Linked DNA regions of Arabidopsis thaliana. The protein of the gene in region 1 purifies or fractionates together with the protein of each later gene. This does not show direct contact. Each region holds a gene or a part of one and is shown in the gene's direction. Other genes may lie near its edges. The genes, in order: AT1G09060, AT2G35390, PRS2 and AT1G25260.

Region 1 (7,103 bases):
ACACACGGGAGGGACACGCACGAGATTTTTTTTGTTAAGGACGCGGTTTCTTTAAATGCAAATAGCTTTTTTCCTTCTAATATTAGTTTCTTCTTATCTGAAGTTTAATTATCTTGCTGTTTTTAGTAAATTATTATTTGACCATGGTTCAAATAATAAACTCATGTGTATCTAAGAGTTTAGTGATAATGGCAATGTAAACGTTCAAAGATATGGAAATTATAAACGTTTTAAAGAATGTCTCAAATGATAAGACCATGATCAATTCGGTGTTCTCCGTAAGCCTGGTTACTTGACAACGTAATCAGGTACGTAAAATAGGACAAAGACACGCCGGAGAGTTAGACTTATTATTGTTTGATGTTGATATCATGATATGTAGTAATCATATCGCATTTTACTCTGCTAGGATTGGATATGATCAACATCACTAACATATTCGAAAAAGAATATCAAGTGGACGAGTACGAATTCTACAACTTTACCATTCGAAAGTTTACCGTAAACTCTAAATGAAAATGTTTTAATAAATTTACATTGAATTACAGTTTAACAAAACCAACTAATGGTGGTATATATGATGGTAATTAGTTGAAGATTAGTTGTCTTCGGAAAAAAGTTACTAACTTAAAACTTGGAACCATGCATGTATTGCGATAATGAATGAGCATATAAGGTGGAATCTTTTGAAATGTAGAATAATCTCAAGCATCTTTCTTGGTTTCTTCTTCAGTAGTCAAGAGCAATACGCGTGGAATAACCCATACGTTTTCTATTTTTGCTTATTCTCGAAGGCGATTGGTTCTCATTTTCTCGATCGAATCATCCTTTTAATTCAACGATAGCCTCACGTCGCGTGGTCCTGACGCACTATCCATATTCTTTGCCACTTTATTCTCCTTCACGGAACATTTAAGTTAAACGCAAATATACACGTTAGTCCATATATTGGAGGAGACCATATTCACAAATTTTGATATATAACACAAAAAAAGTTTACCTGATTTTTCTTCTAGTACTTGATCTCATCACTCAACTACTTGCAAGTCTTGAAACTAATCATCAACTCACCATTCAGAATTTGTTTAGCAAAAAAATCACTCAATGATAACTAAAAACCCAACAAACATACACGATCATATTTCAAACGACACCATTGCCAATGACTTAAAAGTTTTTGACCAATGAAAATTTTAGCGTTGAGTATTTTGAATCACGTTCAGTTGCTCATCGTTATTTTCAGTAACTACAAAATGAACACAATTTAATCGTTAGTCGCTGAAAATTAGAAAACGAATATGACATAGTCATTAATGTTAATTACCATTAGCAAATACGAAATGAACATAATTTACATTAGAACCAAATAATTCTTTCTATGAAACTATCCGAAATCCAAATTCCGGATGCATTACAAGTCAACAGGTTTAGAATCAAATTACTGTAAAACAACCTTATCAAGGACTTTTTTTTTTGTGTTTCATCAATTGGTAAGTTTACTTTAATAAAATTGCAATATTAATATATTTATATATAATTCTTTGACAACATATCAAAATATTTTAAATTTGAAATTTGTATACATATTTCCCTTAACTTTTGTTTGTTTATATCCATATTTGGTAACTGTACAATGGGGATCCACTTTTGAATCAAAAAACACCACACTGAAACAAAAATAAAGAAAAGAAGAAAAACAAGTGAACCCATATCCATGTTCTGTCTGAATCCGAGTTTACTTCTTCTTAGTTACAGAGGAGGAAAAAAGGAAAACCTAAGCGGAAAGGGAATATCCAAAAAAAAAAAAAAAAAAAAAAGACAGAAGTATAAGAAAAGTATCCTGAACATGATAGGTCTCTCTCCCATCTATAACCTCTGCAATTTCTCTCGACCAAAACCCTAATTTCAGGTTTGGGGTTTTCCTTCTTTCACTGTAAGTACGAGCAATTATTTTCATATATATATGTACCTATATATATATACACACTTATATACTTGTTGATGAGCCTCTCGAATTCCCCAATCTTAAACACTCTTCTTCAATTCTACGTTCGATTTTAGCGATTTCGGAGTTCTCTTCTTCTGTCTTCGAATTTGTACGCACTTATTAGTTCTATACATATATCGATCGATATAGCATGTGTTTCTAGAGCTCTTAGGTTCAGTGATTGATCATGTGTGTGTGTGTGTTCGTTGAATTGGGGGATTTAACGGGTTTTGCTTACAAATATTGGATTTTGGGATTGTAATTTGGTTGATCTCTCTCTCAAATTCGAGCAGGAGTGTATAAGCTACCAATTTAGTTTTCTTTCCCTTTAGTGAGTGCTCAATTTCTGATTTTAGTTTGAAAATCTAGTGTTTTGACAATGCAGGTCAATTTTGATGAAACTTGTGATTCAGTGATTAGAATGAATGCTAATGAGCAAACTCGATCCGCCAATGGCATTGGCAATGGCAATGGTGAGTCTATTCCCGGGATTCCAGATGACTTACGGTGCAAGAGATCGGATGGTAAACAGTGGAGATGCACTGCAATGTCCATGGCTGATAAGACTGTTTGTGAGAAGCACTACATCCAAGCAAAGAAGCGGGCGGCTAATTCTGCTTTCAGGGCGAACCAGAAGAAAGCGAAAAGGCGATCATCGTTAGGCGAAACAGATACGTATTCGGAAGGGAAGATGGATGATTTCGAGTTACCAGTCACCAGCATTGACCACTATAATAACGGTCTTGCCTCTGCTTCCAAGAGTAATGGTAGACTAGAGAAGAGACATAATAAAAGCCTGATGCGGTACTCGCCCGAGACACCGATGATGAGGAGTTTCTCTCCACGTGTTGCAGTGGATTTGAATGATGACTTGGGTAGAGATGTTGTAATGTTTGAAGAGGGCTACAGATCTTATAGGACACCACCATCTGTTGCTGTTATGGATCCGACACGAAACAGATCACACCAAAGCACCAGTCCTATGGTAAGTTTCTTGTTTCTCATTGGTTAGACAAAGAACTTGTACACCCATATGTGTTTGTTTGCTTATAAGGATTAAAAGTAACTGGTTTTCTGTGTTGTAGGAATACTCAGCAGCAAGCACAGATGTGTCTGCAGAGTCTTTGGGGGAAATCTGCCATCAATGCCAGAGAAAAGATAGAGAGAGAATCATTTCTTGCCTCAAATGCAATCAAAGAGCCTTCTGCCACAATTGTCTATCGGCAAGGTGTGCTTTCTTTTCTTTTCATTCTGTTTATATCAGAATTCTATAAACCTTTGGTAGAAAGAGTTCGCGGTACTAATGATGTCTCATGCATTTTAAGGTACTCGGAGATATCACTTGAAGAAGTCGAGAAAGTTTGCCCTGCATGTCGTGGCTTGTGTGATTGCAAATCTTGCCTGCGTTCAGATAATACAATAAAGGTGTGGTCTCGTGTTATCATAAAGATTCAAACCAGTGCTACCTATTTTGGGGTTTGAAATTTAGGACCATGAGATGATTATGACTCTTTGTGAAAAATTGCAGGTTCGGATCCGGGAAATACCCGTTTTGGACAAGTTGCAGTATCTTTATCGTCTATTATCAGCTGTCCTACCAGTCATAAAGCAGATCCATCTTGAACAATGTATGGAAGTTGAACTAGAGAAGAGGCTTCGTGGTGAGACGAGTTTTTGTTTACAGTGACTATTGATGAATTATATATACTCGTAACATTTTTTGCGGTTAACACTAGTTTGTTCTACTCTATAGAAGTTGAGATTGATCTTGTCAGGGCAAGATTGAAAGCAGATGAGCAGATGTGCTGGTACTTGTGATCTATCTTACATGCCTTTCTTCTTTTGACTTAGTACTGCAACTATTTCTTGTTGGCACTTTGTATTATCGTACATGACTGAAGTTTTGTTTCTTGCAGCAACGTGTGTCGGATACCAGTTGTTGACTACTACCGTCACTGTCCGAACTGCTCATATGACCTTTGCCTGAGATGCTGTCAAGATCTACGGGAAGAGTCTTCAGTGACGATTAGTGGGACTAACCAAAACGTACAAGATAGAAAAGGAGCTCCCAAACTAAAACTAAACTTTTCATACAAGTTTCCTGAGTGGGAAGCCAACGGTGATGGGAGCATCCCTTGCCCTCCTAAGGAGTATGGAGGCTGCGGTTCACATTCTTTGAATCTTGCCCGCATTTTCAAGATGAATTGGGTTGCAAAGCTTGTGAAAAATGCTGAGGAGATTGTTAGTGGCTGCAAATTATCTGATCTTCTGAACCCTGATATGTGTGATTCAAGATTCTGCAAATTTGCTGAGAGAGAAGAGAGCGGTGACAACTACGTGTACAGCCCGTCGCTTGAAACGATTAAAACTGATGGAGTAGCTAAGTTTGAGCAACAATGGGCAGAGGGTCGGCTTGTTACTGTGAAAATGGTACTTGATGACTCATCTTGCTCTAGATGGGATCCTGAGACTATTTGGAGGGATATAGACGAGCTTTCGGACGAGAAACTGAGAGAACATGATCCATTCTTGAAGGCCATTAATTGCTTGGATGGTTTAGAGGTACATTTCTTCTTATCTTCTTATCTTCTTCATATTGTGAAGTCACAGATTCAGTAATGTTCATAACTTGATTCACAGGTTGATGTAAGACTTGGGGAGTTTACAAGAGCATATAAAGATGGAAAGAACCAAGAGACAGGTCTTCCGCTATTGTGGAAGTTAAAGGACTGGCCGAGCCCAAGTGCTTCCGAGGAGTTCATTTTCTACCAAAGACCTGAGTTTATCAGAAGTTTTCCGTTTCTCGAGTACATTCATCCCCGGTTAGGCCTTCTGAATGTTGCAGCCAAGTTACCTCATTACTCGCTCCAAAACGATTCAGGTCCAAAGATTTATGTGTCTTGTGGGACGTACCAAGAAATCAGTGCTGGCGATTCATTGACTGGTATTCACTACAACATGCGTGACATGGTACATTACTCAGCTCTTGGATTATAAGTGATCACATTTGTCTTATTTTGGTTGATAAGGGAAACTGGTTATATGTTAGGTCAACTGAGATTATTGTTAAAATATATAATGATTGAGTCGTTGAAACTGTTAATCAGGTATACCTATTGGTGCACACGTCTGAAGAAACAACATTCGAAAGGGTGAGAAAAACAAAACCTGTTCCAGAGGAACCTGACCAGAAGATGAGCGAAAATGAGTCACTTCTTAGCCCTGAGCAGAAATTAAGGGACGGAGAGTTACATGATCTATCACTTGGTGAAGCCAGTATGGAGAAGAATGAACCTGAGTTGGCGTTGACTGTGAATCCAGAGAACTTAACGGAAAACGGTGACAACATGGAATCTTCTTGCACATCTTCATGTGCAGGAGGAGCCCAGTGGGATGTCTTTCGACGCCAAGACGTCCCAAAGTTGTCCGGGTATTTGCAGAGAACATTCCAGAAGCCTGATAATATCCAGACTGATTTTGTAAGCCGTACCTGCTAATTCAAATAAATGAAGTGTGTAAAGTCTTGTATGTGGAATGATTGAGTTTCCTAGTTTGTTTACTCTGGTTTCAGGTGTCACGCCCGTTGTATGAAGGATTGTTCTTAAATGAACACCACAAGAGACAACTAAGAGACGAGTTTGGTAGGAAAAACAAACATTCTATTCCCTATTCTATTTCCAAACACTTAATCGCTTGGAAACCTGAGGGATGACTCTTGCTATTGTTTCAGGAGTTGAGCCATGGACATTTGAGCAACATCGTGGTGAGGCTATCTTCATTCCGGCTGGATGTCCGTTCCAAATCACTAATCTTCAGGTAAATTTATTTCGTTGCAACATTATTCCATTAAGTTTCTTTTCCCTTGAGCTAAACTAAACTTTTTTCCCATGTATACAATTCTCAGTCGAATATTCAGGTGGCACTTGACTTCTTGTGCCCTGAAAGCGTTGGAGAGTCAGCAAGACTAGCTGAAGAAATCCGGTGTTTACCAAACGACCACGAGGCAAAACTTCAGATTCTAGAGGTAACAAATCTTTGATTCTGCCTTCCCTTAGAACAAACCATTAACCATCTCAGTGCCTTCACTTCTAACTCTTGGAAATGGTTTGGGTTCTTAACATCAGATTGGAAAGATATCATTATACGCAGCTAGCTCAGCCATTAAAGAGGTTCAGAAACTGGTCTTGGATCCAAAGTAAGTAAAAAAGTATTGACACCAAAGCTAATATAAAGAGTATGAAGTGAATTTGAACTGACAATTTTTGAAATTTGGTTCCTTCGTTATGGCTGCAAAAGGTTTGGAGCAGAGCTTGGATTTGAAGACTCTAACTTAACCAAAGCAGTCTCTCACAACTTAGACGAGGCAACCAAGCGGCCGCAGCAAAACAGCTGCACTTAAATCAGTCAAGATTTGTATAGTAGTATAAAAATCATTGTTGTGACTTTAGTTTAGACGACTACTACTACTATTCAGGATTTGTAATGTATCTATGACTGTGTATATCATGCTTCATATAGTATATTCATAACCATCATTATTCCACATAATTTTTTCTACTACTAGACCATATGAAAGTTACTTCAACGAACTCCTAAGCAAACCAATAATAGAAACATTACTTCTGTCTAATAATGGAAGTAATAAGAATAACAAAGGAATAAAACCCTTTGTGTTAATATCGCTCTTCTGTACACACTTATTCTTCAGCATACAGCCAGGCCAATCTTCTCACATCCCGCGATCAAAACTTTCAGACTTAAGTCCGTTGAGCTCCTTAGCCACGCCTGAATGGAAGCTTCAATACAATCGGTGGAAGTTTACGGTATTCAGTTAGAACCGGCCTTGACTCCTGTACTTGATCCAGAGCCTTACTCTCAGTTCTTGCTTCATTGAGAAGATAGCTAGGCTTTGAATCCTCTATTTGATCCAAGGGCTTACTTGTTGGTGATTTCTTTGTAAAACTGCTTCTATCTTCTCCTCTGTGCTCCAAGTCTGCACTCCCATTTCTGTTACATGCTTTAGCTGAGCGCTTTTTCTTCGTTGAACTTTCATGTTTTCTCGGTTCTGGTTTAGTTGTGCTTTTCATTCTCTTGGTTATAAGAAAGTCGGATTCCA
Region 2 (4,801 bases), on another chromosome or scaffold:
GCGTTGTTAGCTTCTACACTGTCACCATCTTCAGATTCACTGGCGCTTCTCAGACTAAACTTTAGAGTGATAGGTCTACCCATTATCTCCTATAGAAAAACCAAATTGTAATGAAACACTTTACATGCTCAAGGCTAAAGGAGCAAACTTTATATTAATATGCTTGGAACTTCATACCTTCCCATTGAGTTTTGTGATTGCATTCTCAGCTTCTTCTCTAGTAGCAAATGAGACAAAGCCATAGCCAGAAGATCTACCTTCGGGGTCAGCGAAAACAACCCGAGCTGAGACCGGGTTGAAATCTGCAGCAGTGAAAAGCTCTCGGAGATGTGTTGATCTTGCTTTCCAAGCGAGATTAGATACGTAGAGTTTGTGACGAGTGTCTCCAGGGGCAGGAGAAGGAAGATCGTTCGGTGATTTCGGAGTAGGCTTCTTGAACCTTCTTGCAAAGCTTACGCTAATGATCCTCCCTGACACTTGCTGAAAACAAAGAAGATAGAAGCTTAAACATCAAACCTTAGCTAACAACTCAACACAATGTATGATTTAGTAGTTTGAACTATCTACCTAAAAGGCTTTGAAATTAAACAAACAACACTCAATCAGAAAAGAATCTAAGGGATTTGAGCTTACAAAAGTATCGAACTTATCAATAGCTGCTTGAGCTTCTTCTCCAGAAGCCATAGTTACAAAAGCAAATCCTCGGTTCTTTCCATCTTTTTGCCTTATAATCTAGGAAAAGTTTATAAATTGAGGTAAGGCAATTGCTAGTAATAACATAAAGATTGAAACGAAATTGAGAAAGAAGAAAGACCTCGACATTGTTCACAGTCCCACATTGTCCAAAGAGCTCGGAAATGTCATTTACACTCATAGACCAAGGAAGATTGAATACAAAAAGCTTCCTTTTCAGATTTGAATTCTGGGTTTCTTCAGTCTTCTCCTCCTGCGACGTTTCTTCATCCGCCGATGTTTCTTTCTCCGCGACGGAACAGAGTACGGAGACGAGCCGCCGTGAGTTATCGCTGCCGGAACGTAGAGAGAAGACGGGAGAGAGATTGCTGGGAATTCGAAGACTAAGGGCAGTAAGTTTTAAGGAAGAAGAGCGTTTAGAAAAGAGATAAGGTTTTGAAGAGGAAGAAGAAGAAGAGAAGGAGAAAATGGAGAGAGAAGCTTCCAAAACCGCCATTGTTAGCTTTGGCACTAGAGAAATGGATTAGACCGAGACAAAAGGATAAAACTTTTTGGGCCGGTTTGGTTATTCGGAAAAAAATGAATTGTGAACCGGGTCTACCAACTTCGGTTTTTGAAGGTAAATGGCACGAGGAACTTAACCGTATATCATGTATTTTTTTTGGTATACCAATAAATTCCAATCCCTCCACATTGCAGTCAAATGGAAGAACAAAAAAGTGATGAATCTCATGATTTTTCTCTTTGAAGTCAAAACTCGAATTTGACTAAAACTGAATTTGATTGGTGTATATTCTATAACAATGTAAATACAAAAGTTTAAATTTCAATATTCTAAATAAATAAGTTAGTAAATTTTTTTTGAGTTTTGAGACATTTGGTGAAATACAAAATGAAGAGACCAAGATTTCAATCAATCCCAAAAAGTTAATTAATCCTAAGAAAAGTCCAGCCAGACGTCTCCAATCCATCAAACGATGTCGTTTAGTAACAACTTGTAGTCTTGTACACACCAACCAAACCATTTCCTATTTATTTTTCACAAAACGAAAAAAAAAAAAATCCAAATTCGAGAAAGAAGAGTCCAACACAAACTCGGAGACGAAGAAGAAGGAGAGAAGAAAACCATTAAGCCATTCCTTCTTCCGTATCACTCTGTCACCTTCAAAATCCTAAACCATAATTTTTCCGAATTCGTTGTGGAAGAGACTGCTTGAGTGAGTCAGAGGTGGGTTTACGTGAGGTATTGCTGACAATGGCGTCTCTGGGTCTATCCTTTCCTCCCGCCGCAAAAACGCCGACGTATCTAGCCTCTTCGTCTTCAACTTTCTTCTCTAACTCTTCTCTATCCGTCAGAACCTCTCAGTTTCGCTCCCGAAACTCTGTCTTCGCTTGTGTTGTAAGCGGTGTTCATGAATCTATAGAATTGCTTATTCTGCATTTTTGAATGTTGATCCTTCCTTTCTTATTACGTTTCCGGATTTGAGGTTCCTAGATTGAGTGGACCCTAATAGCCATCTTGTCAAGTTTGTAGTTCTGAGATTTTTATTGGCGCATGAGCTGAAAAGCTCGTCTCTTTCGTTTGAATATTGTTTGTTTATGCGAATATAGCTACATAAAGGTTGTCTCTTTCTTCAGAATACATTTGTTTGAAACTATCCAGGAACAGAAATTGAGACCTATATGATTATATGAATCTCTGATTGAGTCTTGTTGTTGTTGTTGCTAGAAATGTGATATGCCGGAGTCATTGAATGTGGGAAACGGGAATCCAAGTATCCCAATTATTAATGAGAGGACACTTCCAAAGTTCTTGGAATCTGCTCGTATGGAGAAATCAGTCAATAGAACCAATACAAGGTTGAAGTTGTTCTCTGGTACTGCAAATCCAGCACTTGCTCAGGAAATTGCTTGGTATATGGGCTTGGATCTTGGCAAGGTTAATATTAAGAGGTTTGCTGATGGAGAGATCTATGTTCAGCTACAAGAGAGCGTTAGGGGATGTGACGTCTATTTGGTGCAGCCTACTTGCACTCCCACTAATGAGAATCTCATGGAGCTTTTGATTATGGTAGATGCTTGCCGAAGAGCATCAGCTAAGAAAGTTACAGCTGTGATTCCGTATTTTGGATATGCAAGAGCTGACAGGAAGGTAAAGTCTCTTTGTGTGGTTTAGCTACTTTCACATGATATGGAGGGTTTGTTGATAACTTAGCTATTGGTAATCTTTTCTGGATAAAATTGTATGTTTTGCTGCTTGCAGACACAAGGGCGTGAATCCATTGCTGCCAAATTGGTTGCAAATCTTATCACTGAAGCTGGTGCAGATCGAGTTCTTGCTTGTGATCTTCATTCAGGACAGTCGATGGGTTATTTTGACATTCCAGTCGACCATGTGTACTGCCAGGTTCACCTCTAAAGCCACGTTCTTGATACCCCTCTTTATGCATTGTGTGTATGCTCCTTTGTGTATAATACCTTTATCTGCTTAATTGTTTCAGCCGGTGATACTTGATTATCTTGCTAGCAAGTCAATTCCCTCAGAGGATTTGGTAGTGGTTTCTCCTGATGTTGGTGGAGTAGCCAGGGCCCGCGCTTTTGCAAAGAAATTATCAGATGCACCACTTGCCATTGTCGATAAAAGGCGTTCTGGACACAATGTTGCTGAGGTATCCCTTTCTTTCAGAGTCAGAGTTTGCTCACCAACACCGCTTGCTTCCCCTTAAGTTCACATTTGTTATACTTTCCTTTCAGGTCATGAACCTAATTGGTGATGTAAGAGGGAAGGTGGCAATAATGGTGGATGATATGATTGATACTGCTGGTTAGTAAAACGGCATGGAGTTGTCATTTTACCGACAAACCAAGTTTCCTATCTCTCTCTATTCCCCATCAACTTCTCCTTTTCCAGGCTGAATCATCTATGAACCATTCTTGTTTCAGGAACCATTGTAAAAGGAGCAGCTTTGTTACACCAGGAAGGTGCTCGGGAGGTATATGCGTGCTGCACACACGCTGTTTTCAGGTAAACCACTAACCTATATTTTGTTTGTTCCTGAACAGTCTCAAAATCACTACTTCCTGAAGCATTATTTGTTTTCTTTGTTTCAAACAAATCAATATGGAAGCCCGCCAGCGATAGAGCGATTATCAGGGGGTTTGCTGCAAGAAGTGATAGTGACAAACACATTACCTGTAGCAGAGAAGAATTACTTCCCGCAGTTAACAATATTATCAGTGGCTAATCTCCTGGGTGAGACCATTTGGCGTGTGCATGATGATAGTTCCGTCAGTAGCATTTTCCTTTGACCTTTCTCATTGCAACCAACAATTTGAACGATTCTTGGTTTGTTAGTCGGTTTAGAAAGTTTATCCCGGTTCATGTTCTAACCGGAAAGCTTCAACAAAATTTGCTTGCATTGTCTTTTGATACAGCTTAGGTTTTTCTTATTTGCTCCACATCTCAAAATTATGGATGCACAAATGGTGTTGAACCGATTTTTTATTATGGTGTACACAAGTTTTTAACTTAATATATAGAACATCTTGTATCGTATCTACATTTAACATGGTGCAAATTGGCTCAAAAATCTTGTTGACAATTTGATAATGGGTTTCATAATCAGACAAATCTATGTATTGGATTGTACAGTCCACGGCCAACCAAAAAAATAAAAAAAGCCCAAAAGAATAGGTTGAGTCATAATTAGGGCTTCTATTTGACTAGTGTCAACTAGTATATATAGAAGACTCACATTGGAATCACAAGACAAGTCTATTGTTTTGTGTTCCGCCTCAATTAGTTCTTAGGGTTTTGTCATCTGTGATTTTGTTTGGCTCTGTTTTTCGATTTGTGCATAGAAATTTATTTAAATAGAAGAGCTGTGAGGAAAAAATCGTGTGCCAGAGATGGTTAATCCATCGCTGACGGTAATACACAACCCTCTAAGAAGTTCTGAGCTTTTCTAGATCTTAATCTCTTCCTCAATTCATGTTTTTTTTGGATTTTTGTAAAAACTCTTTTAAGGACTTTTATGAGTCGAGGTGACGATAGAAATTCACAGGTCTGTCAATCCACTGATATATGTGATGTAATTGTGTTCTCGAC
Region 3 (5,046 bases), 8.8 Mb from region 1:
GTTTGCAATTCTTATGTACATACGCAGCAGCTCATGGGTTCTATTTCTTCCGTCAAGCGTCTCTATGTATGTATACCATCCTCTAAGGTAATATGTTTCTATAGTTCTGTTATCTACATATATTATTGGTTTCTTTGTGATCAAATTACTTATGTAGTGTCTCTTATGCAGGATGCTTATCCTGTTGGTAGTGTCTTCCACTGTCTTGTACGTTTAACGATATGCACATGTGAGACAGAGTGGCTAAATCTACTTATGTGTGTACTCAGAGATTCCCCTAAATTACGAGAACTCAAACTTGTTAAGGTCTGCAGATCTAAACCTGAATTATTCAGTCTCTATGATATATCAGCATATATTTTCAGTAGAATAACAGTGTGATGATATCTTACTTTTATCTTAGAACCATGTCTATCGATCTCATCAACCGCGGCCGTGCTGGAATGAACCGAGTGCAGTTCCTGAATGTCTGTTGACAAGTCTTGAAACTCTCGAATGGGTAAAATATGAAGGAACAGAAGAAGAGAAAGAAGTAGCGGCATTCATCTTAAGAAGTGGAAGCTGTTTAAAGAAGGTGACTATCTCCTCTAAATCCACTGACATCAACAAGAAATTTGAGATGCTCAAGGAGTTGTCATTGTTGTTCAGGCGTTCACCTACATGTCAGATTGCATTCGACTGAAGTTTAGTTCAGTCTTCTTCATTAGTCAAGTTGGTCTGTGTTTGATCCAATCTTATAGACTTGTGTTTTCTCTTCTTAAAGAAACTAGTTTTCCCTAGAAACTTATGTTGCTCAAGTTTTTATTCTTTTGACGTTGTGTATTCTTATGTCTTATAACCCTTTTGAGTTTTTATCTTATTTAGCTCTGCTTCTCACTGCATATTCTTCGACAAGCGAAGAATGACGTTCTAAAATGGTCAATGAACTTAGAGACATTTTGGTCTTTTTGTTTAGTGTAATCCGTTATGAGCTTGGATTTAGGTAGATGGAAATATGAATTGACCACGTGTAATCATTTAGAGCAAAATGATATTGCAAATGGTCTAATGGACTCGGATACGCAAGAGGTCGTGGCAATGGCTAATCACATCTCCTTATATCTTTAATGTGTTAAATATGACATTGTGGCTTCTTATTATTATAACCCGTTTGCCTTTTCAGTTTCACACAAATGGCAACAAATCCTTATGGCTGCATATGTTTTCAATTTGGATCTCTTTAAACTCAAAACAAGTATTAAGGCAATCTCTATGATGTTTTGTAAGTACCTTGAAGAGGTCTTTTGTAAGTTGTAACCTTTTTTATGTAGGAGAAGAATCACATCTTCACCTTTTGAGTTTTTGACTTGTTCTTTCCAAAATTTGCACTTTTCAATTGTTGCAATGGCCAATATTAATGATGTGACCCAATCTATTTGTATAGCCGAAAGAACCCAAAATACAAATGGTTTTTTTTTTAAAAAAAGTTTTTTTGCTGAAAATATATTCTTTTTTTAGAAAATTTATGTTCATAATTAGTTATTGGAATCCTAAAGTGGCATGAAAAATGCTTAGAAACAAGTGGGCATTAGGAATCAGTATGAGATTCTTTAGAATTTGTGTTTGAAAACAATTTCTCTTTTCGACTCCTTCAATGTTAAGTCCTACATGACACGTAAGCTGTGAAAGCTACGAGCAGAGACGATTTTAGCCATCAACCAAACGACACCGTTTCTAAACAATATTTATTTTTGTATGTTTTTAGTGTAACAAAATTACAATTGAAAATTCCAAATTTCGAGAAAGAGAGAAGACCCATCGCCGCACCGCTTGAGTCACTCTTCTTCCCGGAGAAGAAAGAAACAACAACAAACATATTCACCATTACCTTCTTCTTCTCCTCCTTCTCCTTCGTTTCTCACTCCAAATTTGGAACCCTAAATCCTAATATCCTTCGATTAGTTCTCTTCTCTATCGGAATTCTTAACGTTGAGAGGAGTCTGATATTTGCCGTGACTCAAGAGATTCCAGGTGTTTCCGACGTATATATTTACATATGGCGTCGTTGGCTCTGACTTCTCCTCCCTCCGTTAAGATTCCTTCGTATCTCTCCTCGTCGTCTTCGTCTCTCTTCTCCCGTTCCTCGATTTCTTTCAGGACCACTGAGTCTCGCTCTCGAATCTGCGTTTCTGGTTACGCGGTGAGCATTGAGCATTTTTTTTCCTTCATGTTAATGAATGAATTCGATATTCACATTGCGTTTCATGTATTTGTTATAAGAAAATTCAAATTGTTTTTGGATGAATCTATGCTTTGATGATCTGTGAGATTTTTCTGGATTTAGTAGATGCTATTAGCAGTTCGTTTACAGGCTAATTTTGTGAGAATTTGTGTGTTGTCGTCGCTCTTGGCTTGACTTTGTCCATGTATGTGACTGTAGAATTTGGAATTTGGAACTTTCAGCTTTGGAATCTTGTGTGTTGAATACTGTTCATGAATGTTTGGTTATTCTTATGTTTGTAGAGAGATGTAAGAGAGATCGTGTGTTGGTTAAATTTTGTGTCTAACATTTTGAATTTGGTTTCACAATTCCTTGTCATTGTGTTTGATAGAAATGCAATTTGCCTAAGGCACTAAACGGGAACGCTCGTGTTCCAATTATTAATGAGACGACAATTCCTAAGTTCTTTGATTCTTCACGGTTGGAGAAATCGGTTAGTAGAAACAATACTAAGCTCAAGTTGTTCTCTGGTACTGCTAATCCAGCTTTATCTCAGGTAGTTTTCTCGAGACCTTTGGTTGTCTTTTTTAATCAAGTTTTCTTCTGGTGAAGTATATGCTAAACTCTTGGAATTTTGTGAAGGAAATTGCTTGGTATATGGGTCTGGAGCTTGGGAAGGTTAGCATAAAGAGATTTGCTGATGGAGAGATCTATGTTCAGCTCAAAGAAAGTGTTAGAGGTTGCGATGTCTTTTTGGTGCAGCCTACTTGCACTCCAACTAATGAGAATCTCATGGAGCTATTGATCATGGTGGATGCTTGCCGAAGAGCATCAGCTAAGAAAGTCACAGCTGTGATTCCGTATTTTGGATACGCAAGAGCTGATAGAAAGGTAGGTTCTTTTTGTCTTCTTCAATGGTAGATACAGTATGTCAAGTAATTTCATCTGATGTATCTATTGATGTTTTCAGACACAAGGGCGTGAATCTATTGCTGCCAAATTGGTAGCAAACCTTATAACAGAAGCCGGTGCAGATAGGGTTCTGGCTTGTGATCTTCATTCAGGACAATCCATGGGTTATTTTGACATACCAGTGGATCATGTCTATTGCCAGGTATCTTAAGTTTCAACCTTTTTGATAGACAAGCCTCTACTTTTTATGCAACCTTTAAAATCTTACACAATTGTGATTACATTTCAGCCTGTGATACTTGATTATCTTGCTAGCAAGTCAATTTCCTCTGAGGATTTGGTAGTGGTTTCTCCTGATGTTGGTGGAGTAGCCAGGGCACGTGCATTTGCTAAGAAATTATCTGATGCACCACTTGCCATTGTCGATAAAAGGCGTCACGGCCACAATGTCGCTGAGGTAAAAATTTAAATTTACCTTCATTTTATCCTTTCTACACGCAAGTTCTCATGTGTTGATAATACTCTTTCCCACAGGTCATGAACCTAATCGGTGATGTTAAAGGGAAGGTGGCAGTAATGGTGGATGATATTATTGATACAGCTGGTTAGTAAAAATTGCCAGAAACTCCTCTTTCCGTTGATATGTTTGTTATAAACAAAAGCTTCCAAACTCTAGGCCATAATCGAGATATTACTAAATAGAGATTATTCTGTGATTTGCAGGCCATACATTACTAAGAACCAGTTTTTTATCTTCTTATTTACAGGAACCATTGTGAAAGGAGCAGCTCTTTTACACGAGGAGGGTGCACGTGAGGTTTACGCTTGCTGTACACACGCTGTTTTCAGGTAAACCCATTAGCTTGAGTTTTACCAGTTCTTCTCCATTTTCGTTTATGAAACTAAGAGACCGTTTTCTTGAATGAATCAATGTCACAGTCCTCCTGCGATAGAGCGGTTATCAAGCGGTTTGCTGCAAGAAGTGATAGTGACGAATACTTTACCAGTAGCGGAGAAGAATTACTTCCCGCAGTTAACGATATTATCGGTGGCTAATCTTCTGGGTGAGACCATTTGGCGTGTCCATGATGATAGCTCCGTTAGTAGTATTTTCCTTTGATACTTGTTGGTTTTTGTTAATCGGTTTAGGATCGGTCTAAGTTCCTCTTTTTTGTTCTACTTCTTCTCGACAGTTTCTAGTCTAACCATGTCTTGCTTCTCTTACTCACCTAAAGTATGTCACAGTTCTATCTTTTCTTCTTTTTAGCATAATAGAGTTATGAGATATCAATGACAATAAAATTTTAATATTTTGGTTTATTGAAAATAATTACATTATGGTGTAAACATTATTTCTCAGGATTTATTGAGAATTTCTAAATTAACAATTTCCCCAACTTGCATATTTCTGGCAATAAATAGTTTTGGCATTTTATGAAATAAGTGACTAATTTTTATGGTTTAGTGTTCTTTCTTCGGTTAACCAATTTTTATTGCAAAAAAAAAGGAACAAATTAGGGTTTTATCAAGCCCGTCGTTGCATATAAATAGTCTTTTCATCGCCGCTTGAAACAGATAAGTGTTTCCTTCGTCTCTCTGTGGTCCGATATGTCTCCCTATAATCTCTGTTTCATAGTTTAATCATATTCTTTTGTGGTTTTGAATTCTTATGTTCGAAAATCTTGAGTAGTTGCTGTGATGTAACTACCGTGTGCCAGAGATGAAGTTATTCATCGTTGACGGCAAACATAACCTTAGAGTTCTAAGCTTTTCTTTTGTTCTATTTTTTGGTGTGTGGTCGAAGTGACGATAAAGAATTCACAGTCTGTCAATCCACTGACAACATTTGAGTGATGTTATTGTGATATCTCGACAGGTTCTGATCTACTCTTAATAAAAACCCTCCCAATGATTTTTTTTTATTAGATCATTAG
Region 4 (4,807 bases), 5.9 Mb from region 1:
ACTTTGAGATTCGTACCATCGTCGACCGTTATCTTAAACAAAATGAACATCCCGGCGAAGATAAACTGAACCGCCACCATTGCAACTACACTCTTCATTTCTCCCCACATTTCTCTGATTTCGCCCCACAGTTTCTGATTTCTACTTTGATACCCACTCTAAGTCTCTAACTATTAACTATCCAATCCTGTTAGCTCATGATCAGCTCTATTTATGTAGCCAAGGTGTTTTCGTCTTTAATTCTACCTCTATACCTTTTTCATTGTGCTCCACTTCAATTGTATTAACTGTCCAATCCTCCTAGCTCATGATATAGGAAGATGTGAGATTCAAATATTTGTTTCTGGAAACTCGTTACTAAAGTAGCAAAGTTTGGAAGGATTAACCTTCTTGTAGACAAAAGAAAAGAAAAACAAAAGAGTTTATGTGTTGAAATGTATATTCATGATCAAAGGGAAAACAGAATACAAAGTGAAGACGTAATGCAAAAATAAGACGAAACTGTTTATTGTCGTTCTATGAAAGGAGCTCCACAAGCTTTCAAGAGCGTTTCACTGCAAAAGAATCTTTTTTTTTTGCAAAAGCATTTGTTATAACATGACAAGAAAACTATTATACATTTACATCGATGCCACACATTCTTATACGAACGGTAATGCGTTTTACTATATGAGCCAAAATGACAATGCAGAAACATGCTCGGTGCTATTAACATTTATTAAAACATAATTGTGAAGTTAAACAAGATATAAATAAAAGTAACATATTAGGTTGACGTTGACACGTGCTAAGCATGCTTTGTGGCTTTTCCGCGATGGCTTTGCCACACACAAGAACTCCAAAAGAAAGAAAAAGGCTCGTATATCATTATTGTCAGTAAGCAACATGCGTACGTAAAGCCAAATACACTTGGTAAAGATCCAAATGTGGAAGTTTTGGGCTTGGATTCTCTTTCCATTCTTCTGCTCTCTTTCATGTGACTTGCATAAAGATGATACGACCAAAAGTGAAAACCAAGTATCAATTCATACATACATATTATAAGAATGAGAAAGAAAAAAAGTTATATTCATACTGACCCAATTAAAATTTCACACACAAAAAAACCTCTAGAGAACGTTATGATACCCCAATTGAATGTCATATATTTTCCATCATTTTCTTTTATGCCATAGATCGAGCCACTATCAATACCACTAGCTATAACAATCTCGAGCGATTTTTGTGTGTTTTTTTAATTCCCCCGACGGAACTAATTCCACTCATCTCTTGATCTTTTCGCCATATAGCACGACATATATATAGCCCACATACAATCAATATTGCTCCTAGTAAAAATAAAAATAAATATATTGCTTCAAGTACACTTCAATTTGAAAACAATAATATAGTGTATGCTTATAAATATTATCAAATCTTAATAAATAAATTGTCTTTTACCTTCCCAAATAAACTTCTCGTCCAAGAACAAAACACAAGCCACGGCGACTACTACGAGCATGAGAAGGGTTGAGGACTTCTACAAATGAGTGGACCCATCCCCTTAGTCTCGAACAAATTGCCAGTAGTGAGATCACTACTCACTACTAATGGTTGTTCCTATTGTTCCCTATACGTTTACATTGTTTAATTTCCGAGCATTCATATAAATAATTTATAATTCATTATTAAGAGGTTTAATAATATGATTTTGAAAGTACCACTTTTTAATTAATTTTTATAACATTAAATTTAAAACTTTAATTTCTTAACTTAAAAACTTTTGCACAACAAAACAAAAAAAACTAAAAACACTATAATCCATTTAAATTTAAACTAGTACACCCTCCAATGACAAAAAAAAATCGGCCCAGATTTCTGATAGCTAAAAGGCCTGAAACGGGCCGGATCCGGATCGGGTTGAATTAGGGGTCCAGATTAAAAAGTGCGAATTAAAGCAAACAAGGGAACAAGGGTTTCAGTTTCCCTGAAGAAAATTGAAAGGAGCTTAATAAACAGAAGCCGTTCTCCTTCACTTTCGTTCCTCTCACTTCCATACAACATTTGAAACCTCAGCTATGCCTAAATCAAAGCGAGATAGACCAGGTTAGAACTCTTCTTCCTTCACTCTTTCTGCTCTCTATTGTCTGAACCATTGTATCTCTGTCACTGGTTTTGGAAGCTGTAACTTTTGTAGCCGCCGTCAAGGGTTTTAGGGTTTTGTTAGGTTTTTAGAGGAACCCTTTTGAAAAAAACTTTAACTTGTTGGAGTTAGTAATGTTTTTTCATAGCTTCTATGGTTGAATCGATTGATGAATGGTTTATCTAAGGGTTTTGTTTTCTGATTTTTTGCTGCAGTGACTTTGTCTAAGACGAAGAAGAAAGGAAGAGAGCATAAGGAGTGTATTGTGAATGGAATTAGGGAGGCTGTTGAAAAATATTCCTCTGTCTATGTTTTCTCTTTTGAAAACATGAGAAATATCAAATTCAAGGAGTTTAGGCAGCAGTTTAGGCACAATGGAAAGTTAGTTTCTTTGTCCTTCTTCTGGTTGATGTTAGAATTACTTGAATGTTATGACTGACTCGGTTCTTATTTGTCTAGGTTCTTCCTAGGTTCGAACAAAGTGATGCAGGTTGCTCTTGGTCGTTCTGCAGAAGATGAACTCCGTTCTGGTATCTACAAAGTCTCCAAGGTTTGTGTATTCTGCTTCTTACAATGGTTCTTTTATGTTAAATGGTCATTTTTTGTCAGTTAGATTTACATATGTTGTGGAATGTTGTTTCAGCTGCTTCGTGGTGATACTGGACTTCTTGTTACTGATATGCCAAAGGAAGAAGTCGAAAGGTATCTATCTATGTATCTCTTGACGTCCTCTTTTTTCCTCTTTTGCTTTGGTGAAACAACAGTGACGGGTTTGAATTGTATACATGTCTAGTTGTTGTAACTGTTCACAATACTTCTTCTGGTTGTGTATTGCAGCTTATTTAACGCTTATGAGGATTCCGACTTTTCAAGGACCGGAAGCATTGCAGTAGAAACGGTTTGTGAACAGAACTTGTGCCATCTCTATATACTGTTGTTTCTAGATAAATAAATAAGCTTGACTATGATCAGGCTCTGCTTCTCTTTGTTATTTAAAAAACTTTGTTTCGTTACTTTTATCTTAATTACTATATTGGTACCACCTAAATGATTAGGTTGAACTGAAGGAAGGTCCTCTAGAACAGTTCACACATGAGATGGAACCACTTCTTCGGAAGCTTGAAATGCCTGTACGACTAAACAAAGGTCTGTCGTCTCACCATCTTAATATTCCTCTTTCTCATACTCACTTTTGCTATCTATATTAATCCAAAAACTTATTTCTTCTTCTTATTTTAATATGTAGGTACTGTGGAGTTGGTCGCTGACTTTGTAGTTTGTGAAGAAGGAAAACAACTTTCGCCAAAATCAGCCCACATTTTGGTAATAAGACTTCTGTATACCAAAACCCTTTCCTTTTAATTTGTATGCTTTATTTCTTATACTTGTTTGTTTACTTTGCAGCGTCTATTGCGAATGAAGATGGCTACTTTCAAGCTGAACTTGCTCTGCAGATGGAGCCCTAGTGACTTTGAGCTTTACAGAGAAGATCTGTCAGAGCTTTACCGAGAAGATCTCTCAGACGTTGAAACCTCTTAGGAAGCCAAGATTTTGACTCCACCCTTTAAATTTTTCTTAATATCATCACTATCACATGGATTTTATATTGTGGCACATGGTTTGCATTCAAATGTTTTAAGTCAAAGTTTTGCTTGCTTTACATGTTTTGTAGAATATCAACTTATCTTCAAGAACCCCCTATCCTAATATTGGCAAATCAATCTTGAAAACCTTGTTTTTCTTATTCAGCCACATTATGGAATTTCTTACTCAATTTGCTTACTTTTTACAGATTTATAGATGGTGTTGGGACCGAATTAATTGGCATGCGTATGATAATTTAAAGCAAGTTTTTCTTCTTGTCTTTAAAATTATTGTGGTCCATGGGCTTGAGAGCAGTCCAACAACGTTCACACGTCGTCCATCTCTTTTGATAATTTCTTGTTTTTTGTTTTTTTGTTTGTTTTTTAGCAATCCGAAACTATTGCGTTTGACTAGGTGAGCTTAGAGTTGTGATGTTAGGGATAGAAGCAGTTTTCTACGAAAGGGGTTGAAGATACTATGAGGCGAATGCGGTTGAACAAAATAGAACCCACCGGAGATTTTGGTAAAAGATTAAACGGAAAGGCGATACTTCCAACTCCGACGTAACAAATGTTTAGTTGTAGATTTTCAACATTTTATGAATTTTGATAACATATTTTTTAATTAAATTTTGGTTAACATATTTTTGTTATAAAAAAAAAATATATACATAAACTACGGGTTCTCTCATTTTAAACAAGTATAAGTATACTATTATGTCTTAATATATTTCCTTAACATTACATATATATATATATATATATATATATAAAATCGAAAATACGATATTCTCTCATTTAAATATACTCAATCAAATATCAACTTTCTGTTTCTTGTTTTCTATCCGCAGATAATGCGGGATAAATTGTTTCCTAATTCATGTATGGGACTTTTATTGGATTTACGGAGTTTGCCTATACAAATTTAGGTAAGTTAGATTGGAAAAACAAGTTCCATATACTTTATCCTTAATTTTTTTGCTTATTTCTTCTTTCCTAATGAACAAAAAGATTTTGTTAAAAAAAAAAATGTAAATCAAGGAGATCACGTATTGAGGTGAGATGAGAAAGAGAGAGTGTGTGGCTTTAAAGAAGGAATAGG

What was found.
Region 2: the proteins of AT1G09060 (region 1) and AT2G35390 fractionate together in Arabidopsis thaliana (co-fractionation; one large-scale study listed by BioGRID). This does not show direct contact.
Region 3: the proteins of AT1G09060 (region 1) and PRS2 fractionate together in Arabidopsis thaliana (co-fractionation; one large-scale study listed by BioGRID). This does not show direct contact.
Region 4: the proteins of AT1G09060 (region 1) and AT1G25260 fractionate together in Arabidopsis thaliana (co-fractionation; one large-scale study listed by BioGRID). This does not show direct contact.

Annotation. Positions count from the first base shown.
Region 1 is NC_003070.9:2,920,518-2,927,620, reverse strand, and holds AT1G09060 (JmjC domain protein JMJ24), read left to right. Parts: upstream 1-1,864; 5' UTR 1,865-1,933; intron 1,934-2,295; exon of another isoform or gene 2,296-2,356; 5' UTR 2,357-2,366; coding exon 2,367-2,972; intron 2,973-3,072; coding exon 3,073-3,215; intron 3,216-3,312; coding exon 3,313-3,412; intron 3,413-3,515; coding exon 3,516-3,648; intron 3,649-3,740; coding exon 3,741-3,795; intron 3,796-3,903; coding exon 3,904-4,549; intron 4,550-4,627; coding exon 4,628-4,957; intron 4,958-5,094; coding exon 5,095-5,466; intron 5,467-5,558; coding exon 5,559-5,628; intron 5,629-5,717; coding exon 5,718-5,803; intron 5,804-5,891; coding exon 5,892-6,011; intron 6,012-6,111; coding exon 6,112-6,182; intron 6,183-6,283; coding exon 6,284-6,386; 3' UTR 6,387-6,557; downstream 6,558-7,103. Other genes in the region: AT1G09050 (arginine-glutamic acid dipeptide repeat protein), read right to left, coding at 6,763-7,103. UniProt on the Arabidopsis thaliana protein: Binds histone H3 but seems to have lost demethylase activity probably due to its inability to bind iron Fe(2+).
Region 2 is NC_003071.7:14,894,729-14,899,529, reverse strand, and holds AT2G35390 (Phosphoribosyltransferase family protein), read left to right. Parts: upstream 1-1,647; 5' UTR 1,648-1,948; coding exon 1,949-2,092; exon of another isoform or gene 2,093-2,422; coding exon 2,423-2,845; intron 2,846-2,956; coding exon 2,957-3,100; intron 3,101-3,194; coding exon 3,195-3,362; intron 3,363-3,447; coding exon 3,448-3,517; intron 3,518-3,636; coding exon 3,637-3,718; coding exon of another isoform or gene 3,719-3,722; exon of another isoform or gene 3,723-3,821; coding exon 3,822-4,002; 3' UTR 4,003-4,276; downstream 4,277-4,801. Other genes in the region: AT2G35410 (RNA-binding (RRM/RBD/RNP motifs) family protein), read right to left, coding at 1-89, 178-480, 634-732, 815-1,189.
Region 3 is NC_003070.9:11,679,998-11,685,043, forward strand, and holds PRS2 (phosphoribosyl pyrophosphate (PRPP) synthase 2), read left to right. Parts: upstream 1-1,736; 5' UTR 1,737-2,035; coding exon 2,036-2,179; exon of another isoform or gene 2,180-2,591; coding exon 2,592-2,756; intron 2,757-2,842; coding exon 2,843-3,091; intron 3,092-3,170; coding exon 3,171-3,314; intron 3,315-3,401; coding exon 3,402-3,569; intron 3,570-3,646; coding exon 3,647-3,716; intron 3,717-3,879; coding exon 3,880-3,961; intron 3,962-4,051; coding exon 4,052-4,232; 3' UTR 4,233-4,523; downstream 4,524-5,046. Other genes in the region: AT1G32375 (F-box/RNI-like/FBD-like domains-containing protein), read left to right, coding at 1-87, 172-306, 404-682.
Region 4 is NC_003070.9:8,853,017-8,857,823, reverse strand, and holds AT1G25260 (Ribosomal protein L10 family protein), read left to right. Parts: upstream 1-1,949; 5' UTR 1,950-2,057; coding exon 2,058-2,085; intron 2,086-2,337; coding exon 2,338-2,503; intron 2,504-2,581; coding exon 2,582-2,672; intron 2,673-2,765; coding exon 2,766-2,824; intron 2,825-2,959; coding exon 2,960-3,020; intron 3,021-3,177; coding exon 3,178-3,268; intron 3,269-3,368; coding exon 3,369-3,445; intron 3,446-3,526; coding exon 3,527-3,661; 3' UTR 3,662-4,290; downstream 4,291-4,807. Other genes in the region: UMAMIT24 (nodulin MtN21 /EamA-like transporter family protein), read right to left, coding at 1-98.